3 linked regions of the Drosophila melanogaster genome follow. The protein of the gene in region 1 interacts with the protein of each later gene in a pairwise test. Each region holds a gene or a part of one and is shown in the gene's direction. Other genes may lie near its edges.

The links.
Region 2: the proteins of CG43740 (region 1) and TfIIFbeta interact in a two-hybrid assay, tested with the Drosophila melanogaster proteins (one large-scale study listed by BioGRID).
Region 3: the proteins of CG43740 (region 1) and inaE interact in a two-hybrid assay, tested with the Drosophila melanogaster proteins (one large-scale study listed by BioGRID).

What each region holds. Positions count from the first base shown.
Region 1 is NC_004354.4:10,331,752-10,340,302, forward strand, and holds the start of CG43740 (uncharacterized protein), read left to right. Parts: upstream 1-1,900; 5' UTR 1,901-2,000; intron 2,001-4,054; 5' UTR 4,055-4,087; coding exon 4,088-4,700; intron 4,701-8,551.
Region 2 is NT_033777.3:10,764,069-10,771,002, reverse strand, and holds TfIIFbeta (transcription factor TFIIFbeta), read left to right. Parts: upstream 1-3,198; 5' UTR 3,199-3,303; coding exon 3,304-3,840; intron 3,841-3,905; coding exon 3,906-4,202; 3' UTR 4,203-4,381; downstream 4,382-6,934. Other genes in the region: CG45076 (uncharacterized protein), read left to right, coding at 1,700-1,901, 1,967-2,786; Cap-H2 (chromosome associated protein H2), read right to left, coding at 5,106-5,489, 5,559-5,753, 5,805-6,367, 6,425-6,560, 6,630-6,892. UniProt on the Drosophila melanogaster protein: TFIIF is a general transcription initiation factor that binds to RNA polymerase II and helps to recruit it to the initiation complex in collaboration with TFIIB.
Region 3 is NC_004354.4:13,780,484-13,789,169, forward strand, and holds the start of inaE (inactivation no afterpotential E), read left to right. Parts: upstream 1-3,230; 5' UTR 3,231-3,793; intron 3,794-5,223; 5' UTR 5,224-5,469; intron 5,470-8,686. Other genes in the region: CtsB (cathepsin B), read right to left, coding at 1-167, 676-843, 990-1,250, 1,327-1,446; amrt (amaretto), read left to right, coding at 2,016-2,690.

The sequences.
Region 1 (8,551 bases):
ATTGTATGTACAAATTGTTTAACAATCGGGGTATATATTATTTGTGTGTTATGTTCACATATCAAATGCTCACATTGGACTAAGGTTTTGTCCAGTCTAAAGTTATGACACAAATGAAAATTCATTTCATGGCCTACATGATTTGAAAATTTTTCGGCACTTTTTCATGGCCTGCCCATCAGATTTTACTGTCTAGCCATGTTTGTTCGTAACCGTCGTATTGTCCTTTTGTCCTTCCGTCTAAACGGTCAAGATATTACGAAATGGTTACATTTATATATACACATTTATATACTAATTAGCATTTATATATATATTCAAGTGAAGCGTCTAGGTCTTTGACTAAATTTCACATTCATTGAGATTCACCAAAGTCCTACACATTTTATACATCCGTTTAAGTTGCTCTACGTTTCTCTACATAATTTCTACATTCTTCTACGTTCTTTCAGTACTTTCGACGTCCTTCAACATCGTTCTATACGCGCCTTCTATGTTTTTCTATGTTCATTTACCATTTATTAACTACATTAAAATAAATCAAGAATATTAACTAAAACTAGTAGTAAACCCGTCGAATTATTGGCTATTATTGGCTACAATTTAAGAAAGAAACTAACATTCAAAACTAACTGGCAATCTAATAACAATTCGATATGCACATATGTACATATTTGCCAAAAAGCTGAACAAGGATTAGGGAAATTGAATTGGTTTGTCTAACCAAACGGATTCGGATGACCCCATGTGGGCAATTTAAATACTGGACTTTTTGGAGTATATATACAATACAATACATATGTACATGCAATCCAAAACAGACATGTCACTGCCATCGTGTGGCACTGTTTTGTGCGAAATAATAATAGTGCAAATAAATTGCACAAATATCCTATTGTTTTAGCTTGACAACCCATTTTCGTTTCTATCTCTATCTATATTTATATTTCTATTTCTATTTCTATTTTTGTTCCCGGAAATGCGGCACTCGTCGTCCCAAATGCATTTCCCATACGGCTGCGTTCCATCGACAAAGGCAATTAAATTTGTAAAATTTTCGCAACGAGTGGAAAGTGCAATGTGCAATGTGCAATGTGCGATGTGCGATGTGCAACCTGTGTGACCTCATTGATTAGCCAGATGCTGTTGTTTCTGCATTTGGTCTTTATATTTAAAATTGATTGCATTCAGCATAGAAATTGGCACTACAAGCACTACAAGGCTGGCACATTTGCAGATAGATGACTTAAGTTAATGGAATGCTAACAATTAAAAAGGAAAATGTGTTTCACAAAAATGCCATAAATCAAGTGTATGCTATGCATTTTAATCACCAAGTTGCATAAATTAGTAAGTTAAGTGATTATGTTGTTCAAACAATAAAATGTTAGTTAAAAACATAAGATACATATTTAAAGAGGTGTTCAAAAGTATGCTTCACAAATTCCCAGCATATCTTTGGGCACTTCTTATTCGCAGTTTTTTGAATAACCTGTTGTTGATTTCTTCGTTTTCATTTCGTATTTGCACATATCATACAAATTACAAATTAAATTGGGTCAAAGTCATTTGAAATTCGTGAGCGGACAATCCGAATTAATTAAAGAATCTCTGCCTGTATTGTCGGCGACCTGAACAAAAGCATTGACTTTTGTTTGTCTTTCGTCTTGCACAATAAATAACGAAATTCCTTTTGAAATTTCCAGCTGGCAAAAGCGAAGAGAGCGGCGCCGCAACTTTGCCCTCTCGTCAATTCATTGCAATGCCCAACGTTACCGTTGGCCATTTTCTCTTTTTTTGGGAAATTGTCGGAAAAGCGTGAGAAAATTATGGGAAATTTGTGGGAAAATCTCCGGCTGGCCGGCGGTCTATAAAAGCGCGATTCCAACGCCGAGCGCGTTACAAAGGCAGGCGGACTGCCGACGCGAGTGGCAGGATAGAGCGGCTAAAAAAAAAAAAAAACAAAAAGGACAAGCGGCTACCAAAAAGGACGAAACAACGTAAAGTGTTTACTTCGAAGTTAAATTTTACATTTACTCCGGAAACGAACGACCGCGATCCTGTACGAATTTTTTTTCTTTTCTGTCCTGTTTTGGGTTTTTTTTTTTTTTTTTTGTGGTGCCGCATCCTTGTTTTGGCAGCTTTACACAGAAATAAGAGTGACAAAGTGCGCTGCACATAAGCCGAAGGACGCGCGCCTTCAACATCCTCGCACCAGCCTCAGTGGAACTCAAGCCGAGTCGCCGGAAAACCCATCCATCCATCCAATACCATCCCTACCATGCCCACACGTTTCATTTCGCGCGTCCATAGTTTTTCCAGCCGTCCGTGGCTTTCCACCCACAAAAGGAACACTGTTCAAAAAGTTGTGGTCTTTGTATGCTAACATATACAAGTGCTTAACGGAATACCCCATAGAGTGGGCAAGTGTGATAATCTAGTAATTGTGAATGAATAGAACATTGGATGAGCCATTTATATAAGGAAGGCTACGTAGAATATGCAGAAAGATCCTTTCGATTTGAATTTTCACTTGAATATTGCACATTATAATAATGATAACAACTACGTGATAATCTTCCATAGAAGACTCCACCGGACTCTTTTAAGCTGTAAAAAGGAAGTAGACTAGTAGACTATCTGGTTGTTAGCAATTGATTTTAAATTGGATATGAAATGGCAAACGACTGCGTTATTAATTCTAATCACCGGATAACATTTGAGTCGAACTTCATTCTTTCCGAAAGTATCAAAATTGTTTTCTCTGCAAAAGGAATCGTGCTTGGCCATTTAATTGTGGTCTCTGGTGACCAGCAGGGGTTCGGAATGGGATGTGGGGATGTGGGATGGGTGGATGCGGAATGGTAGGATACTGGCATGCAGAATGGGAATTGTGGAGGTAGAATGGTGCTTTCTTCGATTCAATTCGATTTGTCGTAATGAAGCTAGTCCACGGAGTCCCATGCAATAGTTAACATATTTTTATTGCCTGTTGTCGCCAAAGCGTCCCCCATCCGGATTCGCCAGATCCGCCAGATCCGCCTCCATTTGCCCATCCCCAAGCAACCGTTCATGCCGATGCCGATGCCCATGCCCCCCCGCCACTACCATCTACATACGTATATATAACCATCTATATTCCAGCTCCCTTGGCAGTTTCGGTTTCAAGTGCCATTGGAGCTGAAGCTCCTCCGGATTGCTCACTTGATGGCTTGGCCGATTCAATGTTTGCGCTTTTGCGTGGCCAACAAGTGCGGATGGGAATGGTAGTGGATGTGGGTATTGAGATTGGGATTGTGAGTGAAACTTGGGTATTGGCGGGAGGTCAAGAGCTGGTCATTTGGGAATCGGGTTTAGGGTTCTCTCGAGTGGGCACAACCACCCGCTGCCGTTCCACAAAGTTGCTTACATCATTTCGGGGGAGCCTTTAAAAGTCATGTTCACCAACACGGTGCTGGGCTGCTGGGCTGAGTAAATCCAGAGTAATCAACGATGTCAGGGGAACTTCGTAAATATGTATGAGTTTTAATGCAAATCCTTACATTTCCCAATCGGGGGAACTTCAGGTACAAGGAACTCAAACATTTCAAGGGGAATTATCACAAGCAGCTGAGTTTTTAAAGTTATCATTTTCGTGGCAAAATATTAACTTAATAAATGTTGCAGCATTCCATAAAGCATACACAATTTTAATTAAAAATTTGCGATTATTCTTTAGTTACAAATCGCATGTTAAATCAAGCGATAAAATTTAATTTTTGTGCAGGAATTTACTGGCCTTATGCGGTTTTATTTCTGTTATCCTAATGGGTTAGTCCCTTGCTAAATCCCTGGGGGGAGAACACTTAGAACCTTTACGGGGGGTTACTTCTGATCGCAATCAATCGTTGTTTGGTCCAACTTTCGCCAACCGAAACTTTTACTCCTGCCCACTTTTATCCACCCATCACACACACACACACACACAAACTTAGTGATTCATTAAAGCAATTAGAAAAGTCCGAAATCCGTGGCTGAGTGGACAAACATTTAGCAACACTTCTCTTGCATGCAGCCAGGATTTACGGAGCGAATGCGAGACCATCTAATGCTCATTGAAATTTACGATTATGCTGCGAAATTATTAAACAATATGACCGCCAGAGGAGTCAGGAATTCAGTGGGAAAATCAGCCGAGAGCCGTACTAAGGAATCAACAGGGAAATTGGGCAGCCTGCTTGGCCGCACACTGGCCAAAGTGGCCAAAGTGGCCCGCTCCAATCCCGCCCAGCACGTGACCAATCTGCCCGTTTCCGCACTCCTGCTCCAGGCCCTCGACGTGGCGGACGTGGCCCGCGGACAGGGAATCGATTATCCCATCACTAGCACCACCGGGACCACCTTCAACATTATCACCACCACCACCACCACCACCACCACCACCACGGGCAGTGACCCAACGGATGTGCTCGGCAGTCAGCCGCCGGCGTTCTCATTTCCCGCCAACGTCACTGGAGCACCGGGAAGTGCGGGGAATGCGAACGCATACCTGCCCGCGGGCAATCTCAGCGGTTTCATCGAATCCTCAACAACGGCGGTGATGAGCACACTGCCCATACCCACCAGCACCATGGCCACGCTCCAGGCCCAAACGGTGGCCACTTTCATCGCCGCCACCGGCAGCAAGAATCGCCCAACGACCATCGTTGTCTACCCAACGGGTGAGTCCTTAAAACCAGTTGAATTTTTTTTTTTTTTTTTTAAATTCAATCTTGCGCAAAATGCAGCAATATTTTGTAATCAGCTATCAAAAATTGCAGTAAAAAATATTTATAATTTGATTTTGTTTTTTTATCACCCAACAGGTGAGTTCATAAATTATACAACAACAATTTTAATCAGGGTCTAACCAATTTTGCTTAAAAACATACTTTATTTTGTGTGTGAAAATGTTGTGGGGAATATTATATAATATACGTAGAAACTGAGCGCATATATATATACTTTAATTACGAAAAGCAAATTACGAGAAGTTGTGAAAAACACATTACTTGCGGCAACTTTGGCCATAAATAATAAAAGTAATTTGCAAAATTCACGACTTTTCTTAAATTTTACATCACATTTGATGCCAAATTCTGTTTCGTCGAGTGAGTTGAGCGTTTTATTGTCGAGCACAACATGCACTTAAGGAAGTAATTACTGTGCATTTGCCGTGCATTTCATGAATTTTCGAGCAACTGAAAATCAAAATAACTTCCTGTTAATGCGCAACTGGCGCATTAAATTTGCATCAGCAGCATGCTGGAATCATCTTTAAAAGTTCGACTTAAATTGCTTTAATAAATCGGGTGGTGCAACTTGGTGAAGCGCTCTTAATCATGCTTGGCCGCTCTGCAAAAATTAATAACCATCATTATGTTTATTGATTTTTTATCCAACATATTGTGTGTATATATCCCTTCTGTTTTTTTTTTTTTTTCGAAATGCTGCAGCTACTTGCTTTTCAGCTGCCACATCGTTTTTAATCAAAAGAAGAGCCCAAGTGGGATTTGTCACCGTTTTGGGGCAACAATCAATTAACCCCGCGTCGCAAATGAAAGGACTCGAGGCGTCCTCCTGCCTTAAGTTAATTAGGAACATTTGCCGGATAAAGACCCGTGCTCCGCTCTAGTAATCAAATCAAGTCGCTGCAGTCAGTCACCCATCGGGGTCGCGTGCCAGTCCTGCTTCCATATCCATGGATCCATCAGTCCGTGGATCCATCAGTCTCGTCATCCTTCACATCCTTGCGCCCATCCGCATACCAATTAGTCGCCCCGTTTGCCGGCGTTAATTTGCATGAGCTGACAACCGAGTCCTCATTATCCGCATTGACTCCGATTTCTCCTCCGGCTGGCGCGTCAACTTATATTTTTTTTTGTATACATATATTACATATATATTTTTTATAGTTTCTCGTTGGCACGGCCAACTTTGCTTGGCTTTCGAACTGGCTCAGGCCAATCCCAAAAGTTGGCCCCCAGAGTTTAAGTGTGGACTAGGCTCCATTTCCATTCCCCATTCCCATTTCCCCTGCTACCATTCAGCAATTAGACAAGTCTAAGTCGCAGTAATTGCAAAGAGTCGCACTCAAATTTAGCTGTTGATTGTGCCAGGCAAGTGTCGCCATCAGTTGAGTGGGTGGAAAACAAAAAACAAAAAAAAAAAAAAAAAGAGGTTGGGAAAACTGAATGGAAAGTTGGTGGGCTTCTCCAGCTGGCGCCAATGTCGCAGCGCCTCGAGGCGCTCACAAATTAGAGTCTTAAAGGCTGCACGGAAAACAAATAACCGAGGGTTAAAACGGAAAGCACGAGGATTCTAAAAATCACTGCCAGCGATGGTGTCTAGAAGTAGGCAATAAAAAAGGAGAACATGGGATTAGGTGGAATAACACACTTTTAGACACCTTTACAAGTGATCCCCCCCAGTGATTTCTGTCAATTCGATTACTCATCCAGGAGTTGGCATAGAAATCTCAAAGGATTTTCCGCTTGAATACATTCGAAAACCTCTAAAGCATTACTGTATACTGTTTTTTACTCGAAACGCAAGAGTTTGGCTTATTTATTTACTAAAAGCATATATATATATATATATTCTGCATGTAATTAAACCCGACTTGCAGCTTTAAAAAACTTTGCTTGAAAGTCATTTCATTTTTTTTTTTATTGTGTGACGTAGGCTGGCGTCTTTATTAAGCGAATGGCTTCTTCGTCACACTGCCAAGGCTTCTGTGCCGAATCGAAATTTGTCGACAACATTGTCGACTTTCCTGCTCACCTTATCGGACCCAAAAAAAAAAAAAAAAAAAAAAACATGGCAGACTCCAGCTCATCCCGCCCGTAGGCCCATAACCATTCTCATTTCCCCAATCCCCACTACAATCAGCGCGTACATCTCGGGCATTATCGACGGTACGAGTGGGTGGTGGTGTTGGGCGTTGGGCGGCAAACGTCTATGTCAGCGCTCTCGATGGCCTGTGGGCGTGGCACTCGAGTTGCCGCCACCTTGTCACTTCGACACAAAATACAACTTTTCGTCCATGCTGACAGCAATGGAATAAAAAAAAAAAAAGAAAGAAAAAGAAAAAAAATTGTAAAAAAAAAAGAAAACAAAAAGAATCGCAGATGGAGCAAAAAAAAAAACTTGCCCATTACAATTTCCCCAACAACAACGGGAAAAAGTGCGTAAACTCATCCGATAAAATGATATAACAGGAATGTGATGTCCTTCAGCTCCATTGATAAGTTAACAATGCATTCTACTTAGCGAAACACTCGAATGCCTGTTCGCTTTTTTTTTTTTTGTCGACGAGGAGTTCTCGTTTTTCATCCAGAGAAACTGAACAGAACTGGGGGGAGGTTCTTTTCGCGAACAATACTTAAATATTCGATTTTTTCCCCTTTTAAAATGTTCCACTCGCATAAGCTCAATTTAATAGTCAGTGCCTGATGAATGGCGAATTTATTGGCAAGCAGGAGATGTAATTTAATAAATAAAAGAGTTTCGCACTCATTGATAGTTGGATTTCATTTTTCTATATAGTAACGAAAGGCACCGCCACATTTTGTTGTTTTCTGCTGATGGCAAAACCAAACCCCTTTGCTAATTTAATCATGCTAATGTTGTCAACAGCTTTCGACTGTTTGCGGCTGAGACGTCCGTTTTGGTCAAAATTGAATTGGTTGTGTTTGTGTGTGTAGAATTTGCCTTATGTAAAACCGCATTTTATTGGTCACCACGAGTGCCCTAGCTTTTGGCCAGAATCCTGTCAACAACCGGGCCACCATCACTGACTTTGATTTGGGCGGGAATTTGGAACGATTTGCTGAGGTGTAGCTTCGTATCAAAGTGAAACTTTGGGGCTCTATTAAATGCAAACTATTCTCCGCAAATGCCTTGCGGACTTCAAAGTTGGCCCCCTCACACACACACCCCCCCCCCTCCTCCTCCTTCACAAACCTTTCCCTTACCCATTTTGCCCGCCTTGAGTTGAACCGCAATCAAGCTCGAGTTGACTTTGATGGGAATATATTCGAATTGGAGAAATCACTTTACGCTACTATATGGGTGTATGTGTACCCAGAATATCTCTGTGTGCCGTCAAGTCAATACACTAAAAAAAAACCCTTTTAAAGCTGGCACACGATGTTTTTAAAAGCCTTTTTTTCATCCCATGTTCAAAAATGGTCGCAAAGCTGCATGAGTTACTGTTTTGAGCAGCTTATTACCAAAGCTAAGCATCTGCATTACTTTTTGACAGATTTTGCAAAATAAATTTTTTTGTAAATTTTCGCATTTTTTGTAAGGGGTTGCAAAAAAATGGCCAAAAAATAGAATTTCCATTTTTGAATACAGTTTGATTGGGAATTTAATTACGAGCTCAACGAGGTATGACATTTCATATTCAGACAATTATTTTTAAAGTTGTGGCTAAAAAACTGATTATTTGATGACCGAAATTTGGAAAAACGGATTTTGCCAAAAAGTTGATATTTACAAACGGAATTTTTGTCATAACTTGGCTAAA
Region 2 (6,934 bases), on another chromosome or scaffold:
TATGACACCTGTATATATGTATCACTCAAGCATAAATGTAATAGATGTTGGCGCCAAAAGATTACCATTCATTACGAGATGAATTTGTAAGGACAAGGATATGCACTACATTTTTTCCTTTACAAAATTTAAATTGCTCAATTTTTGTTAGTATCCCAATTCAAATAGAATAAATCTGCGAATCCCTCTTCACAATCAAAAATCAATCAAAATATAAAATAATTAATCAGCATTGCCTAAAAAAAAACAATTGAAAAAAAAAACATGTTTACGAGCACCAGGAGCTTCAAATTAAATTTATAGATTGGCTTGGACCAATATCAATTCATACAATTCTTCGTAATCCCCTTGTCCAATAATTTTCTTTCAGTGTATTCTCCAATTAAATTTATTGTTAACGTACAACGTTTGTTAGTTCAAGATAAGATGTTTTTTAATACGGTGCTTTAGAATATAAATTAAATAATTCATTTGTAACTAACTTACATATTTGGTTGCTGCATCCTGAATTGTTCAGTTCATTGTATTTCACTAACGTTATACGTTTTATGATTGATTGATTCTTTCCAGTTGAAGCTGTTGAAGTTGAGGCCTAAATGATAACATGCCTGATTTTTGTATGGACATACACTTCTCTTTCTTAAATAAACCAATCTAAAAGACTTTCTTTTGCGTGGTAGACAATTAGCCGATATCTACAAGATGAACACTTGATATCGACACAATATGGCGCTTTCACTACTCAGACTAATACTTACACACAAATCAGATCAGAACAGCTTTGAAGATCGAAATAATAAAAATATTAAACAAATTCAACGCATCACTTGTGATACTAACATTTTTCATGTGACTCACCAAAATGTAGATACTTATTCATTCTCTTTCAATTTGTTGTAACTTAAGTAAGAAGCTGACTATTAAATTATATATTTTCATGATCACTGATTACGAACTATTAAATACTTCATGTGCATACTTTTTGGCATTTGTAAGATATGGACTTCATCGCGAATTTTGTTAACCAATGTTTTGTTCATGCATATGTAAACACATTTTAGGGATAGTTACTTACAAATATGTATCAATATATTAATTTGTAAATACTGATCTAAACGCAATTCTTTCCTTGTGGGGTCGTATTTTGTAAAAGGTCTGCATATCGGGTCTATTTCAGATGGGATTTCAAAGGATTAGAAAGTGGCGATTTTGCTATTTTGATAGGTGATATTACATCGGCCCACATTTTTGCACATAAAGATGACTAATGGATTGATGCAGAATTATAATAAAATACATCGAAATTGACGCAAATTTACACAGTACAACACTTCAAGATTGTAGCTTACTTCATATACTATTTTTTTGCATTTTGAGATGTATATATGTATGTATGCTTAACCCATTAACCACATTTTGGTTCAATTCTTCATACCCAGAACTTTTTAAAAACTCCCATTAATGCCACACAATACTCTAAAACATTGGCGTCTACTGTATCTGCAATTTTCCTTGCCTCGTCTATAAGAAAACCAACAATCGCCGATCCTAAGAGTAAGTATTGTAAGTATAAGTATAATGTATAATGACATTAGCCGAGTGAACAACAAAGTGAAGGATATTTAATGTAAAATGAAAAATAAGATACAAATGCATAGGCACTGTGGTGAAGGCTCTTCTGACAAGCATTACATTTCAGATGCCGAGTTGGATCCTAACCGTCCATCTAGAAAATTTTCTGCCCCTAGGCCCCTGGAGGATCCCCTCGATGTGGAGGCCAAGGAGAAACAGCGTCTGCGCCAGGAGCGTCTTCTAACCGTTAACGAAGAGGCTCTCGACGAGGTGGACTTGGAAAAGAAGCGTGCCCAGAAAGCCGATGAAGCCAAGCGTAGGGAAGAGAGGTGGGTGCTCACTACCTACACCAGCTCATAGCTCATTTCCTATTAAATTTTTGATGTTTCCGAAGGGCTCTCAAGGAGGAGAGGGATCGCCTGACGGCTGAGGCCGAAAAGCAGGCTGCTGCTAAGGCCAAAAAGGCTGCCGAGGAGGCCGCCAAAATCGCTGCCGAAGAGGCTCTCCTGGCTGAAGCTGCCGCCCAAAAAGCAGCCGAAGAAGCTAAAGCCCTAAAAGCCGCTGAAGATGCTGCCCAGAAAGCTGCCGAAGAAGCGCGTCTAGCGGAGGAGGCTGCCGCCCAAAAGGTCGCCGAGGAAGCTGCCCAAAAAGCTGCTGAGGAAGCTCGCCTAGCAGAGGAGGCAGCCGCCCAAAAGGCCGCCGAGGAAGCTGCCCAAAAGGCTGCCGAAGAAGCCGCTTTAAAGGCAGCCGAAGAGGCTCGTCTGGCTGAAGAAGCTGCCCAAAAGGCCGCCGAAGAAGCCGCACTGAAGGCTGTAGAGGAGGCTCGTGCCGCCGAAGAAGCTGCCCAAAAGGCCGCCGAAGAGGCTCGTGTCGCTGAAGAGGCTCGCCTGGAGGAGGAGCAGCGTGTCCGTGAGCAGGAGCTGGAGCGCCTGGCGGAGATCGAGAAGGAGAGTGAGGGAGAACTTGCTCGCCAGGCCGCCGAGCTGGCCGAGATCGCCCGCCAGGAATCCGAGCTTGCCGCCCAGGAACTGCAGGCCATCCAGAAGAACGAGAACGAGACCAGCGAGCCTGTGGTCGAAGAGCCCGTCACGCCCGTTGAGGAACAGGAACCGATCATCGAGCTCGGCTCTAATGTTACCCCCACTGGTGGTAATAGCTACGAGGAGGATCTCGATGCGGAGGAGGAGGAGGACGAGGAAGAGGAGGAGGAATAGATTCTACACAATCACCATGCTGTCAACCTAATTTAAAAAGAATGAAAAAACAATAAAAATATTAGAAAAACAATTTAATAGGGCAATGGGGTGGATAATGCTGGATAAGGTGTCACATCAATTCATAAATTCATCTTAAATCAATACAATGTTGTGTTCTAAATTTAGTCATAAAATTTGCTGAATAAATCAAAATTAAGATATCATATTCTTTCTAAGACATTTCATTATAAAAGTTATTTCTTATGTTCTAAAGTTCTTGCTAACTATATAAAATTCAGATATGTAAATAGTTCTATTTCGTTATCTGCACTTCGGACTTTTTCAAACTTGGCGCCTAATAATAACATAACGAATAAATACCGAAAGAAAAATACCGTGATATACTAAACTAGCATTTTTTCGAAACTGTTTATTCGACCGCACTAAATTTACGGCAAAACAACAACAACAAGCAAAGCCGAAAACGGTACAAGTGGCTTTGCAAATTCGTTTTTAATAATTTAAAGCAAACAGAATGTCGAAGGAGGATAAGGAAAAGACACAGATCATCGACAAGGACCTGGACCTGTCCAATGCTGGGCGAGGCGTATGGCTGGTGAAGGTGCCCAAGTACATTGCCCAGAAATGGGAGAAGGCGCCGACGAACATGGACGTGGGCAAGCTCCGGATAAACAAGACACCTGGCCAAAAGGCCCAGGTCTCGCTTTCCCTCACGCCCGCCGTTTTGGCTCTAGATCCCGAGGAGAAAATACCCACCGAGCACATCCTGGACGTGTCGCAGGTCACCAAGCAGACGCTCGGCGTATTCTCGCACATGGCACCGTCCGATGGCAAGGAGAACTCGACTACCTCGGCGGCACAGCCGGATAACGAAAAGTTGTATATGGAGGGCAGGATTGTGCAAAAGCTAGAGTGCCGACCCATCGCCGACAACTGCTACATGAAACTAAAGCTGGAGTCCATACGCAAGGCATCGGAACCACAGCGACGTGTGCAGCCTATCGACAAAATCGTGCAGAACTTTAAGCCTGTAAAAGACCACGCACACAACGTGAGAACAATAATACACTCTGTTTTGGTAATATATATGTATATATAACTCCTCCATTCCTGCAGATTGAATATCGGGAGCGAAAGAAGGCCGAGGGCAAGAAGGCGCGCGACGACAAGAATGCCGTGATGGATATGCTCTTCCACGCATTCGAGAAGCATCAATACTATAACATCAAGGATCTGGTCAAGATCACCAACCAGCCGATTAGCTACCTGAAGGAGATTCTCAAGGATGTCTGCGATTACAATATGAAGAACCCGCACAAGAACATGTGGGAGCTCAAGAAAGAATATCGCCACTACAAGACTGAAGAGAAGAAAGAGGAGGAGCACAAGTCAGGCAGCAGCGACTCGGAGTAGCATTGGGAGAATCGCCGACTTACTTTCATTAAAACACATTAAGTAATTGCATGGTTCCGTTTTATTCCTTAAGAACTACACGTTATACTTACGAAAAAAACATTATATCTTAAAATGATTGTAAATAGACACTAGCTTGCACTCTGGTAAATACATACGTATATATACACTTTATCCTTAATTTATCTTGAACTTTGTCTTATGTCCGAAGAGTTCTTATGTTTATACTTTTGTACAGACGAGATCAGGTACTTGAATTTAGTACTATCAGCTCATGAGGATTTCCAAAACACGCGCTTCGTCAATCAAAAAGTCATTTGTCTATTTTTGTTCTAAATCAAAGGAGGTATAGTGTTAAATTTTTAGGAAATCATAGAAATAATAAGAATACGAAATAAATCTATTCGTAGGTAAAGTAAAATAAATCAAAAATGTTCAAAAGAAATAGAAATTAATAAAAATGTGAAAATTTCATAAGCAACTAAAAGCGTCGTAAAAAGTTAAAAAAGTGAAGTGAAAGAAAAACTAAAAAACGGCTTCATGCTTAGGAAAATCGAGCTTAGATAATACTGGTTTACTACTCTAAAGAAATATTGATTCATACATCGATAAGCTTAAGCTAAAGCATTCTTTCTATTGCAAGCTTCCTAATAATACGTAACTAAAACTTACATTTGTACACGATTGCGGGTAAATAATCTGGCAAGAACATATATCTAATGCAGCCTCTTGATCTTGTTGTACCGCATGGGAAAGCGCATTGATCTCTCGGCCTGAAAATAATATACATAAAAATTGAATTCGAATAAGGGGGCACACAAACTAGACTCTACTACTGGGTCAGGACGCAAGGAATCTTATCTACAAAGAACTACTAAGCACATTTAAGACGAAACACGGCTACTACTTCAGGCGGGCTGTCGATGCCAATGATGAGCCCATCGAAGATATCCCCGAGTCGGCATCAGAAGGAGTAGGCCACATCTTTGGGATGGGCTGTATCAATCGCACAGTTTTAGCAAACACCTCGGATAAAGAATTTTCCGCAGACTTTCGTTTTGTTGGTGCAGATGCCGTCGTGCTTGTTCGTGGCTTGTGAGCTGAATCATTTAGCTGTTTACTTCTCGGCGTCGATTTGCTCTGGGCAGCATTTATGTTGCCCACGTCGTCCTCGGGATTAATTTCCATTCGCTTCATACTCTTTAAATGCATTCGAAACTGAGACATGTCGATGGGCTTACTTTTATCGCGATTTTCAAAATCCAGAGACACGTTTCCGTGGTTCGTCTGCAAATGAGGAGTGTAAAAATGATTGCTTATCGAAGGACAGCATTTTGATTGAACGCATTAACTTACCAGTACCAGGGAAGCCAGCATGTAGCGACACATGATACTAGGATCCTTGTCAGCCATGACGTCGGCTAACGTGGCTGTTCTGTTGCCCGCCTTGCAAATGTCCAGGATCTCGGTGCCCAAGTCCTTAATATTGAAATTCTGCCGTTCATGGGCTGCTTCCAAAGCAGGAGCCAATCGTCTATGCCAGTCCCGGATCTAAATGGACAACGTTAGTATTTTTTTTATAATTTTATATCCAATATTTACCAATGAGCAGTCGTCGACTGCTGAGTCGGCAATTGGATTGGGTGTTTCAGCAGACAAATCATTTGCATCTGCTTCGTCATGTAAGGTATCTTGGTCCTGCACGGTTGAAATCTCTAGGTCTGAATTGTCAGGTTGGGTGACATTTATAATGTTACTATCCATTGCACTCGGTTCGGTACTTAAATCCAATACAGAACTAACTAACGCGCTCTCCATTCCTAAATCCACTGTGGTTTCCAGTCCGCTTAGCGTTCCGGAGGATTCTGTAGCAGTCACTTCAAGTTGCGATGAATTTGCGGTATTGTTTTCCGCATTGGGTTCGGTGGAAGCGTTTAATTCCTGCGCTAGTGAATCTCCCAGCCCACTTTCCTTTGTATCGTTCACATTCTCATTCAAGGCGTCGCTGGCGCTCGCGTCAGTTAAATTATTGGTGTTGGCTTCAATCTCATCTTCAAGCTCAGTTTTAACTTCTCCGATAGTGGAGACACAACTTGATACACGCGGCTCTTCGATATCGAAGCCCGAGTCAAATGTGGGTCGACGTTGGCGGAAACCCAGAAAATCTGGTAAGATATGTAAGATAGTTTCGCGACGTGACATAGTGTGGCAAAGTAACTTACTCAAGTCCTCATCAAATTCTAAACTACAGGGGGAGCCGGGTTCTCTTTCATTTTGGGGAGCCTCTCTTCCAATTTGCAGTACAGTTCTGGGAGTGGTTGGGGATTTTTGTTGTCCCTCTCGCTTAATAGGAAGGCGCTAAAAATAAAACACATATGCAGTTCAAGATTTTTTTCCAACAGTGATGTAACTACTGAAAACACTTACTGCTTGCCTGAATAAGTCGAACTCAGGTGGAAGTTTAAAGATGCATTTCCGACGCAGGCGTTTTATGGGGAGACCCATAACATTCAGCAGAATAGGATAGCTCACCTCCCTTGGAACATTCATGATAAGATCAGCATCCATCTCAATGATATTGAGCGTTTTTGCCTCCATCGATGGGCTAACCATCTGCAACATGGGCGACAACTGGCGTTGATCTTCTAAATCTGAAAGAACAACACCCTCATCATCAAAAGACTGGCCTGCTGTGACAAATGCAATGCAGGGATGCAAGTGTTTGACAAGTG
Region 3 (8,686 bases), 3.4 Mb from region 1:
CTCACCGAGTACGACTTGGAGCCGAAGTGCTTGTCCTTGGCATAATCGACGGTGTAACCGCTCTGGCAGACGTGCGAACACTTGGGCGTTCTACCGCCATGGGCACATGGTGGTCGGGTTCCATTCACATGGTGCTCACAGGGAGAAATCTCGTAAGGACGGCAGCCCTGCAAAATAAGTGCATATTAGAATCGTTTTTTCTTCTGTTTGCCTTACTATATCTGGGAAATGAGTTAGTAGCAGCTAAAACTTATCGTTGAGGATGTACGCGAATCTGGAGTGCATTCACAATATATGCATGTATATCTATAGATGTTCGTATATGATATATATACATATAGCTTTGTGTATATGGATGTTTGTATATGATATACTAAGCCGCTTTCTAGCGATATCTGTGGTATACAATTTTTTATGGCGTCGTAAACTGAGTCTTCAGTTCACTTCAAGTAAACAAAGAACAAAATCAAGTTGCTTTCTAACTATTTCGGCGTAGAAATACAATATGTACAAATACAGGTTATTTTTGCACATAAAGTATGTTTTTCTTCGTTAGAAAACAAACCCTTTTTTTTATTGGAAACTCATCTGCAAGCAAAACCAAATTGCAAGCCCTTTTAAACCAAACTAAATATGATTTGCAAAATCCCATTAAAGCAGGAGAAGATCACCAACCTGATTAGATCCGTAGGGTCCTCCGCTGACGATTCCCTTGCGCGTCCAGTAGCTCCAGGCGGCGCCGGGGAAACCGCCATTGCAGCCAAATCCGCAGGTGTGGCAGCAGGAGACGAGATCATCGGCCGAAAAGTGGAAATTCACCTTGCCGCCGGAATGGATGCACACCTGCCCATTGCGAAATCAGTAAAAAAAAAAAAATCATTGATAACAAATACAAAAAGAAAATAATAATAAAAAAAAATGGGGAAATTTATCAGCTGGACAAACAAAGAATGGAAGGGGTTATAATATCGATAAGGTAAGCTACGTACGCGATCGGACATGGCTTCCACGGCACCAAAGGCCCAGCAGGAGCCGCATGAACCCTGGTCGCGAATCTCGCCAATGGTTGGGCAGTTTGGCCATTGCTTGCGGGAATCGAACTCTTCGGGAAGTTCGTCAACGCTATTCACGTATAGATCGCCAAGAACTTCACGCTTGTCGGGCAGTGCGAACTTGTGCGCATCCGGATGGACGCCCATCAGGCGGCGAATATGTCCCTCCGTTACGGATGCATCGAAATTGCGACCCACCTGGCGGATAGGAAACGGGAAAATGCAATTTTCTTGTCACGTCAGCAAGAAAAGGGTTGGAAACAAAGGAATTTACCGTCCAGGTTTTGGCCTTACTGCGCACCACCTCGATGAACTCATCCGAGAGCAGTGACGGCTCACCGGACGTGAGTGCCGCCACGGAGGCCGCGGTGGCCACCAGGAGCAATAGATTCATTATTCTTGTCCAACGAATTTCCAATGCGCTGACACAGCAAAATTCAAACAAATCACAGCAGTAAAATGGTGGAAAATGACGCGTCGTATTAAGCGGGCTCTCTGCTCCGTTCTTGTTTTCGTACTGCCCGTGAAATTCGGACGGGTAATGCTCTTTAAGCGTCTATTATTCTCTTGTTTTTGTTCTGTCGCACAAAAAAAAAAAAAAATGGTTCGCGCCCGCTGATTACGCGGCCAGTGTGTGCACACCAATGCAACAGGGCCGTTGCCTATCGAATGTAGAGATGGGCGCGTGATTGGTAACTAGTCTGAAATAAATAAACGCATTATACTAAATAGCACTTCACTAAATGTACTTAACTAAAGACTACGATCACACTAATGCCAATAAATATGCTAAGGAGCACTGTTACTTGAAAGGTGGTTTATTTGCATTTATTTATTTCCATTCGTTGTCGTGGTGCTTAAAATCAGAACTATCGGTAGGCCATCGCAGATAACAGAGCTCTGTTAGCTGTGCTAAGGTGTGGCCACACTGGCTAGCTATATTTTGATAAGGAGCTCGCAAAGATGCGGATTTTCTACGGACTACTGGCGTTCCTGGTGGCCAGACAACACGATGCCCAAGCGATACAGGCACGCAGCGACAAGGAGCAGCCGCAGACTGTGGTCTCCGGCACGGCGGTGCAATCGGTGGTGCCCGTTCAGGCGCAACTGGGCTCCGGCATGGGACCCTCCTCATCGTCATCTTCGGCATCTTCCGCCTCGGGCGGAGCTGGAAACTCGGCCTTCTATCCACTGGGACCGAATGTGATGTGCTCGTTTCTGCCGCGCGACTTTCTCGATTGCAAGGATCCCGTCGATCATCGGGAGAACGCCACGGCGCAGCAGGAAAAGAAATACGGATGCCTGAAGTTCGGTGGTTCCACGTACGAAGAGGTGGAGCACGCCATGGTCTGGTGCACCGTGTTTGCCGACATCGAGTGCTACGGTAATCGCACCTTTCTGCGCGCCGGAGTGCCCTGTGTCCGCTACACGGATCACTACTTTGTGACCACACTGATCTACAGCATGCTGCTGGGTTTCCTCGGTATGGATCGCTTCTGTCTCGGTCAAACGGGCACGGCTGTGGGCAAACTGCTTACCATGGGCGGCGTGGGCGTTTGGTGGATCATCGACGTCATCCTCCTGATCACCAACAATTTGCTGCCCGAGGACGGCAGCAATTGGAATCCCTATGTCTAGACGTGTGTGATATGCCTCTGTGTCATAGCTTTAAGTAGTTAAATAAGATTAATCTTGTTCACTGATTAATTCGTAGTGTTAGGAAATTAAATTAACTTGCCCCTTATTTCATTATAAATACCTTTGTTATAAAATCATTGAAATTAATAATTTCATACATATCTATTAGATGTAAAGTAAGGATAAATAAATATTTAGAAGTACAGTTAAATAGTTTTTATATGCCTAAGACAATCAAATGACTGCCTCTTAAACCAATTGTTTTTTTAGCTTACACCAAAACTACAGCTTTGATCCGTGCAAAAATGCCCGCATAGCATCAAAAGGGACGTTTTGACTTTGCACAATCGTTTTTATTTTTAATTTTAAAGTATATTTTGTTCAATTCGAATGTAGCGCCACAGCTGTTCCAAAATTTGTTCAGTGGATCCATTGCATTTCCGACAGCTGCTTTCCATTGGGCTATCGTTATCGTATGATGGCTATCGTCCTTCGCCATCGGGAAATGGAAATCGAAAGTTTCGCGTTCAAACTCGAAAGTCAGTTGCAAGAAAGCTCGCCAACCGCGCGGTCAACGGAGACTGGCTGAGCTGAGCGGGCGCTTTCTCTTTTATTTTTCTCCATTGACGACGCTGCGTGCGCGTCGCATCTCTCCCGCAAGAAACGGCAACAACAATAAGCACTGCGCGGTGCATAAATAAAACAAACGAAAATATATAATTGTTAGCCGGGAATTTATGCAAAATACACAAAAATAAACAAGACAAAAAAAGCAAACTAGTGATGACAGGCAAAAGTTATAACAGTACTTAAATCGCGGCACAAGAACGTAAACACAAAGTCGTGTGTGCAAATTCCATGGGGAAAAAGCTAAGGAAGGAAGAGGAAGCAGCAGTGTACAAGAAGTACAAGAACAACAACATGAGGACGCCGACGTCGAAGCAGACAGCGACTGCGACGCCGGCAGCGGTAGCGGCAAGACAATTCGAATATCTTTGGATGCTGTTAGACTAACGGTGCTTTAGTGGTTGTTCTACATAACCGCGTCTATGTGTGTATGTGTGTGTTTGTGTGTAAAGCGGAAAAGCAGCAAAAACTGAATGGTAAATAAGTGTAAACAGAAAGCAAAAGAAAGAAGAAGCCAAAGAGTAGCGGAGATAGGGTGGGAGAAAGAGAGAGAGTGACAGAGAGAGAGAGAGAGGGAGCGAGAGGAGTAGCGATTTCCATTTATCGATTCACCTGCAGCCGAAGCCATTCCATTCCATACCAGCATCATCGACTTAATCCGTTCGAGCGGGATTAAGGCTGCGCCGCCCACGCAGGGTCGACGGCGCAGCGACCGCATTACCGGTCGCCGGTAATTAGCCGCCAAGGCCGTCGGCGCTACACAGAAAGAAATGTAAAGGTAGAATTGGTCTCTATAGTGCCATTTGATCAATACAAAGTTGCAAATCGATCGAGCATTTCTCTCAAGTTTTCTAAAATGCTCTTAAACATAGCTTTTGGTTAATAGTTCATTTCTTATTTCACAGATCCAATTTCTAATTTATTAAAATGCTATTCTCAAGGAAATAGTATTATTTTTTTTTTAGTAATTGTAGCGAATGACCAGCGCTTGTTTTTTGCAGTGTGCATAATAGTTTTACATTCTGCTGCAGCGGTGTGAAAGTTCAGGCTCATTAAAAGCAGCTGCCTAACGGTGCTCGGCATTCGGTACCGGTACTCGATACCATCCGATACCGTTACTCGGTACTCGGCTAACGACGACGATGAAAACGAGATTAAGCGAATCCAGTAGCTTCCTTAATAATTAGCAGCATCCTGAATCGGAGTTCCCCTTAATCTAAAGGAAACACTCAAGTCTATCAGATAAATGGCAAACATGTTGGCTCCTAAATGGTGCCTAGTTTTTAGAGCACTTAGTAATAGGTTTTAAATTTTGAAGTCGATCAATGAAATAGCTTCGCGGTTTTCCAGACGCTAAGAAACTGAATTAATTCTGCTTAAATTACAGCATAGCTTAACTTTTATGGGCACATTAAACGCTGAATGAAAAATGTTCTTATAGAGCCATTAACCCAATGTACTTGGTACACTAAAGTTAGAGGGAAAGTCCATTTGTAATGACAGCTGTGCTTTATTTCCTTGAACGTGTTTGAATTTCGAGTGGCCAAAAGACAATTTAGTCGCTAAGTTTTGCTAAAAGTTTAGCTATACAATGTAATTTGCAAGTTTAAGTTGATAATTATGGTTTCGTTCTAAAAACGCAATCAACAACAATTAGTAGAAATCGCGTAAATGATAGCTATCCACAAACAACAAAATTCTATGGAATCCAGCTAGTTTAGTTGCTCCTATTATCTCTCCTTCTTTCCATCTAACTCCGTATAATTTTACTTTCGCGAACGAGAAAGTGTTAAAGGAAAACAACACGAATAACAAATAAACGAACAATAATGCTAATGAAGCCAAGCGTGAAATGTTTTTTCTCTATATTTTTTTTTTTAATGTTTTGGAATTTTGTGTGTTAAAGTGCAAGCGAAGTAGCAAAGCAGTGGAAAATAAAAGCCATAAAATATTGCAAAAAGCAGCGGATCGGTGAAAAGCGTTAACCGAAGCCAAGGAAAAAAGTAAAAAAAAAACAAAAACAAACAGCCAAAACAACAAACATCAAAAGTTGCCAACTTTTTTCTCTTGCGACCGCAGCATCCGAAGAAGCAGCGGCGTCAGCAGCGACGCCCGACTGCAGCCAGCGTCGCGCTGGCAACAACAAATTGCGGTAAGCATTTTTTGCACACTTTTCCATTGTCTGAAAAAATTAAAAAAAGGGAAGCCCTATACAATTGCATTCCTTACACAAAGAAGTGATTTGATTTGATTTCAAAACTGGTATTTATTTCTAACCATTCGTATCATTTTTCCTAAAACAATTTTTATAATTTAAAAAAAAAAAACAAACTTAAAACCTTATACTATTACATATCAAGATAATTAAAGCACATCACTTTAATGCGCAACTTCCAAGTTCCGATTGAAAAGAAAAATTTGTAATTTCAAAAACTTAAAATTTAAAACTTTGAAGGCAATTCGAAGTAGGATAAACTCACAAATATTATTTTCTCGGTGTACACACTTGTCTTCCATCTGGCTACACTCATCCATCTATATAAGTTTATATTATATATATAAATATATATATTTACTGATTCTTTCTGCCGCACACACACATTCACACATTCACAGACTGCTGATTTTACTGTTTGGTTTGTAATTTTGCCAAATTGTAGACACAGCATAATAAGCACACAAAAAGAAACGAAACTACATATGTACTTCAAAGTTTGACAGTCGACGGGAAATTGGAACGAGCCTCGTTCCACAAAATAATTCACTTCAATTGCATAATGGAAAGGCGAATCCACCGACCGATTAGTGAAATTAATTTTAATGGATGCATTGGTTCGTTTGTTAGCATTTCAATCACATTTATTGGACCATGGGTCCATTATATCATCGAATGGAATAAATCAATGAATTTGTAGCTTAATTAGCCTTTTGTACATGCTTATACATGTAAGTTAAGGCAGCTGAGATCGAATATTTCAATTTTGAAAGCTGGCAAACATGGACAGCCCAACCAATTAAACCAAATATTTTCAGTGAAAATCAATTTTTTTTAGTAACCCAAGCGTGTGTAGAACGCATTAGGATGTACTTTCTAATTTAATTGCATTTCAAAAATGAAGTACATCTAATTGAATTAAAAAAGGACGCTTGAATCAATTTTTCGATTTTCTATCGCACCATGTTTTGATAAAAAGCTAGATAAATGTCATCCCCCGTATTAGAGGTATTAGACTTTATAAGTTTAAAATCTCGTTGAATGCGACCAACCCCCACATTTTACGGATGATAACGATTTCTGGCCAGATAAAGTCATCCCCATTTCGAAATGATTACAATTATCGTTTAACAGAATGAGATTGCAAGGAATATATGTTTATGTACAATATATAGAAATAGAGGAATATCAACAAGCAGACAGTCGACGTAGAAATTGAAAATAAAAACAATCAAATTAAACAAACGGGCTAAAAATAAAGAAAAAACTTGTAGACGCCCAATGGCTGTTTCTCTAAATTACACAAAAATAAATAAATGAGCATATTTTTGTTTTTGGCAATTTGAACTACATCATCGAAGAACTCGTATATAAAAAGTGAATTGAAAGTTCTTTGAAAAGAAACTTGCTTTGCTGCAATTGTAATTTTTTCTCGCTTCATTTGCTTTGAGTAATAGGTATCTTATAGTCGAGGCGATCTGTCTTGCATTGCCATTGCAAATGCCTATGGTCGCAACATTGGTTAATCATTTTCCTGCGTGTATGCAAGGTGGGTGGCAATTTTCGGTGGTGGCTGTCGCCTGCCAGCGGGAAAATGGAAAAGTGAGCGTTGAAGAGGGGGGAAGGCGGAGGATGCAAAAGGGAAATGGGAAAGGGCAGGGAGTGCGACAGACGCCAGCCAAAAAATACAGGCGTATTTGCTGATTTTTCCGTAGCCGGCTTAGCCGTGTTACCCTGGCTGCTTCGCTGCTCCGTTCTGTCCATGTCCAAGCATTCCATTTTGCCATTTACTTTAGACAACCCCCTCCCTCCCTCCCCTCCACACACACACACACACACACAAAACTGGCGTGTGGCCCATGCTCTCACATCGGGGGTTAGTTATTTTTGGGGACGAAAACCGCAGGAGCAGCAGTACAGCAGAGCAGCCCTCCAAACTTCTCCTCTCAACTGCGGAGGAGGATTCGCGACGAAGGATTGCGGATGGACCATGTGCCATGTTGTGGAGGAGCTGTGTGTGTGTTTTGTTTCAGTTTCGGTCTCTCAGTCTCAGTTTCAGTTTTAGCTTTCTGGGCCACACCGCACTGGCCATGGAGTTGGCTGTACTGAGGATGGTATCCCGCGGATGCGACGACAACCAGAAAGCGAACGGAATGAGCCGATAAATCTTGGCTGAACCACAAAGTCCTGTTTAGCGGAGTTCGGGTTGCGATAAATAACTTCAAAAATATGTTATATTACATGTAATCCAGGGTCTAATAATAGCTTTGCTCTTCCATAAATCGAACATTTGGAGGGTTTCTTAAGGTATAACCAAACTATAAGATATTGATATCATGGTTGCTTTCATCTTTCACCAAGGAAGAAACTATATGATTTGGAATTTATGGTGATAGTTTTTAGTTACTAAGTTCAATTTCCAAGATACCTTTTTTTTGTTCATGTGCATCGAGTCTAATGACTTTTGAAGGCCAATTATGCTAGCAAGCTCAGTCGGTAATTGATCAGTTTATATCTGGATCAGATGGCCATCCTCCAATAGCCAATCTCTGTGTCCAAAAGCTTGATTGGAAAATGTCAAGGGTGCTGTCTGTTGTCTGTGCAGCTGCTCTGCTGTCCTTCTGACCATCTGTCCATATGTCTAGCTCTCAAAGCGAACAAAAATGGAGCAAAAAAGTTTTAAAAAAAAGGCGATGTGGCGATGATTTTGTTGCCTGTTGTTCTGTTTCTGAACTTTGAAGGATTTTTGCCCATCTAGAAGGATGCTCTGGCATTCGCGAGGGTGTGGAAAACTCGCCATACACAAACACATGCCCACAGGGCCACGCATAATACACATGCAAATGTCAAAGCTGCCAGGCTGTCGCCATAAGCGAAAGCGTCACTTGTGCCACCTTACCACCCATTCAACCACCCACCTTAGCACCCATCATCATCCACCACGACGGCCATCGGCGAGTTTTAGCGGATTTTGTTTGTGCCGGAATGAAAATCTTCGTCTTCCTTGTATCACAGTATACCCTCGAATCACTCAAGGTATTGATCATATACTTTCATAGCGAATTTAAAATCTTTAAAATAAGCAAAATACTCTGCCATACTCTGGTAGAGTCACTTTGAGTCACTTTGTAGGGAAAATAACGACTTCTTTCGA